Rhinolophus ferrumequinum: one gene and its partner. Each later gene encodes a partner of the first gene's protein in a complex. Links are inferred from orthologs where the notes say so. Each region holds a gene or a part of one and is shown on either strand. Other genes may lie near its edges.

Region 1 (3,749 bases):
CGAAAGACAGTGAAGCAAACTCGGGTTACTCCAGAGACAAAGTGAGCAAAACAGAATCACGGGAGAGGCCGAGTCCTGGAGGAGGTCGTGGGGGCTGGGCCTGGGCAGCAAGTCAGCAGCTTGTCCGTCGCTGAGGGAGGGGATGGGGACGCAGACACGAGTGCCCTCTGGTCGGGAAAATCGGGCAAGGCTTTCCAGGTGGGAACATGTCCACGCGGCTGACAGGCAGGAGAGGTCCGGAAATGAGAGAACCCAGGAGCAAAGCCATAGATGTAGGACAGTGGCAGCCCAGCTGGCCTGACCCGTGTGACACAGAAGGGCCTGAAAGCCAAGCTAAAAAGGGAACGTGTATTCTCTAGACCCATGTTGTCCAATCCAGTAACCATGAGTCATGTGGCAACTTACATGTAAGTAAAATGAAAAGCCCCTTTCCTCAGTCTCACTGGTCACACGTGGCTCAGTCACCATTTTAAAAGGCCAGTGCAGATCATGGAACATGTGCATCATCACAGAAAGTTCTATCGGACAGCCTTGCTCAAAACAATGGGGAATCATTTAAGTTTCGGAATGTCTGAGGAGTGGACAGTGGCCAGGTTCTAAACCCTCTTCTCCTATGGGGACCCCATCCCCCGTTGTGGAGCCAAAGATCACAATCCTCTGTCCTCACCCCGTAAGCAGCACGGGCACGGCCGTGGCGCGGCCAGTCACAGGTGCCTGTCTGGGACGCTGAACCTCGAGAAAGGAGGCAAAGCAGCAGCCAGTGTGAACACGCACAGCAGGGATGGGGTGTCCCCTGGCGGACAGCACCCTCAAAATCTATTTGCACTGTGTCCCTGGATGTGCCTCCGGGCAGCCTCCCTGCTGCTGGCCCTGCTCACAGCCTAGCCTGCCTGCCCCCTGTGCCACCCACCTGATGTTTTGCAATCAACCTCTCAGCTGATGTGGGCAGGGGCTGACACTCAAGTGGTTACAGCAGGAATGGCAGAGGCCGGCACAGAACAGACATATGAAGAGAATGGCAGGTGTGCTGACAGCAAGTCAGGCCTAGCGATCAGACATGGGGAGACGGGTGGCTGGCAGGTACGGAAACCCGGGGCATGGGTAGATTGTTCTGCAGGAGGTGGGCAGTGGGAGAGAAGACAGAGTTTAAGAGCTGGGAGAACATGGGGTTGAAAGCCCTGCGAGTTCCGTGGAGATTCTGGACCGCAGGATCAGAGAAGGCAGGCCTGGAGAGAAAGGCCCTGAACACCCCCCACGGCCTTCTCCTGCCTCGCCCCTCCTCACCAGTCTGCGTCTCCTTGCGCGTCCCCTTCTAGGAGAAGCTCCCGGTCAGCCCACCCAGAAGAGCTGTCACCTCCCACTTCCAGCCCACCACTCGATGCCCGCCCCGCTGGATTCCAGTGGGATGAACGTCCCCAAGGGAGAGGCTTTGTGTTGTCTACAGCAGCTCCCAACACACGGGAAGGACCAAATCACTAGGCGTTGGAGAAACGAGGGAATTTAGAAGCTGCCCACAGAGAGATGACAGTTGTTGCCACAGAAGTGGAGAGCTCATCAAGGGTATCGACAGGCAGGAGAGGTTCAAAAACGCAACCCTGGGGAACCCGAGTCCAGGAGCCTCGTGTCACCAGAACCAAATAAACCAAATTGACAGAAAGGTTCCACGGGGCTCCTTACAGGGAGGTCAAGGAAAATAATGGTTTCAAATCCACTGTGGAAGAGGCGGTGAGGCAACCACTGAGGGAATAAGAACCTTGAAGACAGGTATTGGGACTCAAACTAAAGGCAGAGGAGTTCACCCTGGACAAGGGGCCACGTCTCCCTCGGAGAAACAAAGAAGAGAAATAAAGACGGCTTCGGGCAAGACGTCCACATGAAAGCAGCCCTGGGCCCAGGTCACCCCACCTGCAGCGCATCCATACGAACTTCTATCCTCAGCAGAACCACGTCCCTCATCCTGCCTCGGCTAGTGCATGCAAGGCCATTTCCAACTGAGTCAAGGAGGACAACGGCAGCCATACTTCAGCTCTAAGACCTGACATTTTCTAGGTAAAGAAAAAAAACCAGAGCTAATTCTAAGGGCAATGCACTTTGTGGCATGAAAAAAAGTTCAAGCAGCTTACAGCCAACCTCAAATTAGAGCAACACAAAAGAGGATTTGGGGGTTCCAGTGGTTCTGCATGGCTTAGCAGGCCTTTCTCTTTTGAGCAGTAGCTGACAGCAGGCTGACACTGCACACAAAGCCTTGACTGAAGTTACACCTCTATAGCAGTACTTCATAAAGGCTCTCTTGAAACATAGTTATATTTAAATATTTTTGTTAAATATGAAACATAAAAAAGTACAATGTAAGTCCTACTTTTGGTTATAAGGCAGTGGGGTACTCTAAATAACAATTAGCTCCGGAGTCCCACAGACCTTCTGCTCCCACAGACCTTCTGCGTTGGACAAAAGCCTGTCTCCAGCCCTTACCAGCCACATGATGTCAACACGTTACTTTACCTCTCTGAGCACCACCCTAAAGCTGAGAAACAGAGGGCCAAACCCCACCTCTCAGTTAGTGGAATCAAAATTCTGGGCAGCATGAGGTCACTTCTTTATTCATGCTCCCATTCCTGAAAAAAAACAATCTGGTTTGCGTATGCCTAACAGTTCTTCCTTTCCAACAAGCTTTCCAGAATATAAGGAAGAAGCAGAAACCTTCACCCATCCAACATTATACTCAAAGCAAGTTCTCAAATACCTAGAAGCAGCAGCGTCCTTCTTCGTGTCCGGCTCCCACAGTGGCTGAGCCTGACCTGGACGCTGATGTCCCAACCGTCCTCCCACTTCTGTGGTGCGTCCCCCCCCACCCCCCCTCTGCACCTATTTAAATCCCCACTTCCTGTGGTCTTCTCACAAGACCACAGAGGATTAAAGATAACAGTTAAGTATGAATACTCTGCAATTAACTGAGGTATTAAAATGGCTCTTAACCAGTGGTCTGCATCAGAATCCCCTGCAGCTTCTCTAACTAGTCTCCCACAGGGGAGCCTGTTGGGATTCCAGCAAGCCAAGGTGGAAAGTTCCACAGGGGATTACTTCCTGCTCAGACCCACTCACAGGGTGGCTCTACTCTATCTACCGACTTCACTTGGATTTCTGTTTACAGAGCTCCCTGACGTATAACACTGGAAGAGCCAACAGTTTCACATGCTACTTGTGCCACTATTACTCTTATTTGATGACACTGATAAAGTCGTGTGTCCATCATGTTCTTTGCTGTGACATGGAGTCCATCTTGCCACCCTGGAATGTCACCAGGGACTGGAGAACCAGTAGTTCCTTTCAGCAGCCCCTCCTTGCCCCCTGCATCCGATGGCTGCTGAGGACCCCCGTGCACCTCAACCCACAAGGAGCCTATCCCGGGGCTAAACGTTCTTCCAGGCAATAGGATGTGTCCGCCAACACCCACCCAACTGGAGACAAATGTCCTCTCCCCTCCCTGGAGAACACTGATCTGGGCCTGAAGCTCATCAGAAGGCCCCCCTCGGAATGTCTCCTGGGAAAGAAGGAATTATGACACACACCCTCACCCCTAAACCAGAGGTGAGGCAAAAACGGGGGATGGGGACGAGGGGCAGGCAAAGAGTGCAGCCTCACAGCAACGTTAAAGGAGAACAAATCCACGGTGCTGAACCCAGGTCACGTTTCTCATCCCCTCCCTCCACACCTCGGGTGTCTGCATCCCCTTCCTGTCTGGCCCCTAA
Region 2 (3,749 bases), on another chromosome or scaffold:
TCATTGTCTGCAATGGCATATCACTAAAGATTTGAGCAGCAGTAATGTGTATTCTAAGAAGGTCTATCTGGCCGTTAAGTAGATATTGATACAGTTTTGCGGAATAGAAAAATGCTGTGAACTAAGAATTGAAAAAATAGAGATGCAAGCATCATGGTTAGGAAAGAAAAGAGAACATGATGGAAAGCAAATGTGACACCTAACTAGAATTATGAAACCAATACAGACATACATCAGGAGGAACAGATTTATTGGAGAACCTTTAGAGCTTTTGAATTAGAGTTGACAGTAAGGTATGTATGTAGAAATATTTATCCAGCATCCAACAAGCAGCTGAAAATGTGAACCTAGAACTCAGAAGAAAGGTGCAGAATTAGAACTCACATTCTCAGGACACTGTGGAATTAGAAAAACAGAGATGAGAAACCAGACAAGCTTTAAATGCCATCATTTAAGAGTTAGGAAACTAGAGTAAGTGAAGACCTAAAATAAGAAAGAGCAGTGTCCCAGAAGCTAAGAAATCGAAGGGGTTAAATGAGGAAAAGGAAGTGGTCTTCAGTGATGTCAGTTGCTACGTAACTGTTAAATTCACTTGTAATAATGAAGTTATTTGTAATATGTGGGAGCTTTGTAGTTTACCATTTCATCTTCTCAGGAATAACGAGGAAGTAAGTATCCAATTCTTTTCACCGTGTCTTGAGCTAGTTACTTATTTTTGCACTCCTGTTGGGGATTGGAGTTGAAGATCAGTGTTGAACAAGTTCCTGTAGACCTCATTTACCTGCCACCTACTGTAGGTTTTTGCTAAAGGTGCACACAAGACACCAAACAGAAAACAATATGGAAAGTCTTTACAGGCACAGCCTTCTAATTGGAGCCAATAAAGGTTACCCAACAGCTGCATATGTTGAAGTTCACACATAACTGAGAACTCCAGAAAACCCAGGATGGCTCCTCAATTCAATCTACACAAAACCTTGAGTAAAGAGCAGTGAGTCGATGGCAAACGGGAAAGCCAAAAGAGAAATCGGGGTCTGGAACCTTTGGAGCTGGGACTTCTAATCACGTGTCATCTGGTGCTTGCTGTTCAGCTTCAAAGTCTTTGATCTAAAAGAACAGGTTTTAAGATAACGGACTCTGAAATACTAAGGCAATTCATACACTCTCCGCACAAAAATGTCTTCTTACATGCTTTTCCTGGGGAGCTTTACAGCGCAGCAACCTGACAGGAAACCTCTCTCCAACACCTGGTGTCTGCGCAGGCGCACGAGGCAGCCTGTGGAGAGCCGCGGGAGGGCGGGGTGGGGCGGGGTGCGACGCACAGTCGCACGCTCCCAGTTCCCCCCGCGCGTCCCCGGAAATCCCATGGTACCCGGCGTTGGAGGTGTAGGAAGTGCTGCTTCAAGCGGAGAGGAGGTCGTAAGTCATGTGACGGCAGCTTTCAGAAAGACCTGTCTTTGACGCTGTCCCTGAAGGACAGCAGGCAGCCCAGAGCCCTGCGACCCAAAGAACCGGGCAGCCCAGAAACCGGGTAACTGGAGCCACGTTGCTCGGTGTTCAGGCCTGGGCCCGCGGGTGTTACGGGCGGTGAGCTGGAAGAGCAGAGGATGCCCCTTCCGCTTTATTTCGGGCTTAGACCTTGGGGGCTGGGGAGGCGGAGTGGGCTGAGGTAAGGCACCCCGGCTGTTCTTGTGGGTATCTGGGCAGTGTGTCTCCCTGCGATCTCTCTGGTCCCAGGCCTAGAGCCGCGGATTCTTGCCTGACCCTGATGACAGCTGACCCCGCTGAAACCCAGATTTCCTCACCAGGAGTTTCTTTTTCAGGCGTGGATATTGAACCTGCGGGAGAAAGGGGTTCGTCATGGCGGATGTGAGTTAACACCCCCGCACAAGAGGAAGCAAGTGGTGGGGAGTTTGGAGCATACTGGGTGGGGAAAGATTGTGCTTCCCAAAGAGAAATTTGTTTTATTTTTGCCCCTCTACACCTTGAGTTATTGTCTCCAAGATCTGGAGTTAGAGATTAATATGAATGGATTTCCTGGGGCCGTGAGTTTGTGCCTTGCATGGGCCTGTAGGACACTTAGGTGCCCGTGCTCACTCCACAGCCCTGCGGGCATAAGAGGCTCCGAATATTTACCATTTGAATTTCTAAATGGTGCTTTGCTGCTTGGAATCCTTTTTTTTCCCAGCAAGTGGTCATGATGTCTTTCTGGGTTCATTGGAGCCATTTGAGATGATTTTTCAACTGACAAGTCTTGAGCACAGCAGTAAAAGCCAGATTCTAAGTTTAAGGAACTTAATTGTTCTAGTTACTAGAAACAGCGGGAAATTAATACTAGTACTAATGTTTATATTTTACATATGTTACTTTGCTTACGTACATCCTGAGTGTTATAAATATTGAACATACGCTCATTCTCAGCTTTAGGAGGTAGGCATGATCATTATCCCTGTGTCATAGATAAGGATGCTAAAGCACAGAAAGATCGAGTAACTTGCCTCAGGTTACTCTAGTACTAAGAGTGAAAATACCAACCCAGGTATTTTGGCTCCAGAGTCAGTGCACTTAACCATTTTGCTAGTCATTCAGCATTAATATGAATCTGATTTTTCTTTTTACGTTGCAAGATTATGTGTTTCAACATTAAGCAACTTTCATGCCTTTATCACTACATTTTTGGGTGTCTTCCATTATGTTTTTGAGACATTATCCTTCAGGCATAATCAAATCACTAAATATCTATTGAGCAGCCAAAAGGTTGTTATAATAAGGACTGTGGGTGAAATGAAGAGGACTATGGTATAATTCCTCTTAGGGGTTTTACAGTTTTAAAAAGTAGACAAATGATCAGATATGCATGCATTATTGTGTGAAAATTCAAAGGAGAGAGGGATTACATCTGGTTTGTGTCTATCAGGAAAACCTATTTGGAGTGTTTGGTGGTTGAGGTTAACTCTAAATGATGAGTAGCAGTTTTAAAAAGTAAGATTCAGAAGGAGAATATTGCTAGTAGAATGAATAGCATGAACAATATTACATAGGAAAGGGAAAGGTTGTGTATGGAAGAGCTGTGAGTAGTTTAATTTAGCTAGGGCTGAGGATCTGTGTGAGACAGCAGTAGGAAGCAGAACTGTAAACTTAGTTGTAGGCCATATTGTAGAGGCTCAAATGTCTAAAGAGTTTGTACATAATTCAGTGAACAGTGGAGAGCCATTTCAATATTTGTTCTCAACCGTGGCTGAATAGGTGGTAATCTGGGGAGCACCTCTAACCTAGCCATCTAGTCAACAGTGGCCTTTTTTTTTTTGAAGCTTTTCACGTGTTATCCATAGCCAAGGTTGAGAATCCCTACAATTACAGTTTTAGAGAAGGAGAATAATAGGATTATTGACACCATGTAGACCTGTATGGAATAGATGCGGGAGATCAGCATACCAACTAGGAAGCTAGTGCAAGTCGTAAATAATAGAATGAAAATAAACTGTAATGTCAGTTGAAAAGGAGAAGAAGAGATCGGTTTAAAAACATTTGACTTCACAAGTGATTTAAAAGTGACAAACGTGAGGTTAGGGTTAGGTATTACTCTTAGTTTCAAACCTGAATTAATGGGTTTGGTAGTCCCATTAGTGAAAACGAAAAGAGATTGAGGAAATCTGGGTTTCAGATGAAACATGATGAGTTGAGGTTTTTTTGTGTGTGTTTAAAATGAGAGCAAAGGTAAACTGGTAGTGATAATATGGAATAAAATG

What was found.
Region 2: FLCN (region 1) and LAMTOR3 share a complex: the UniProt entries of both Homo sapiens proteins name them as parts of the lysosomal folliculin complex. The link is inferred for Rhinolophus ferrumequinum from reciprocal best matches to the Homo sapiens genes FLCN and LAMTOR3.

What each region holds. Positions count from the first base shown.
Region 1 is NC_046304.1:1,500,338-1,504,086, reverse strand, and holds the start of FLCN (folliculin), read right to left. Parts: upstream 2,423-3,749; 5' UTR 2,020-2,422; coding exon 1,906-2,019; intron 1,845-1,905; exon of another isoform or gene 911-1,844; intron 1-910. UniProt on the Homo sapiens protein: Multi-functional protein, involved in both the cellular response to amino acid availability and in the regulation of glycolysis.
Region 2 is NC_046288.1:51,295,261-51,299,009, reverse strand, and holds the start of LAMTOR3 (ragulator complex protein LAMTOR3), read left to right. Parts: upstream 1-1,347; 5' UTR 1,348-1,531; intron 1,532-1,562; exon of another isoform or gene 1,563-1,669; intron 1,670-1,823; 5' UTR 1,824-1,860; coding exon 1,861-1,869; intron 1,870-3,749. UniProt on the Homo sapiens protein: As part of the Ragulator complex it is involved in amino acid sensing and activation of mTORC1, a signaling complex promoting cell growth in response to growth factors, energy levels, and amino acids.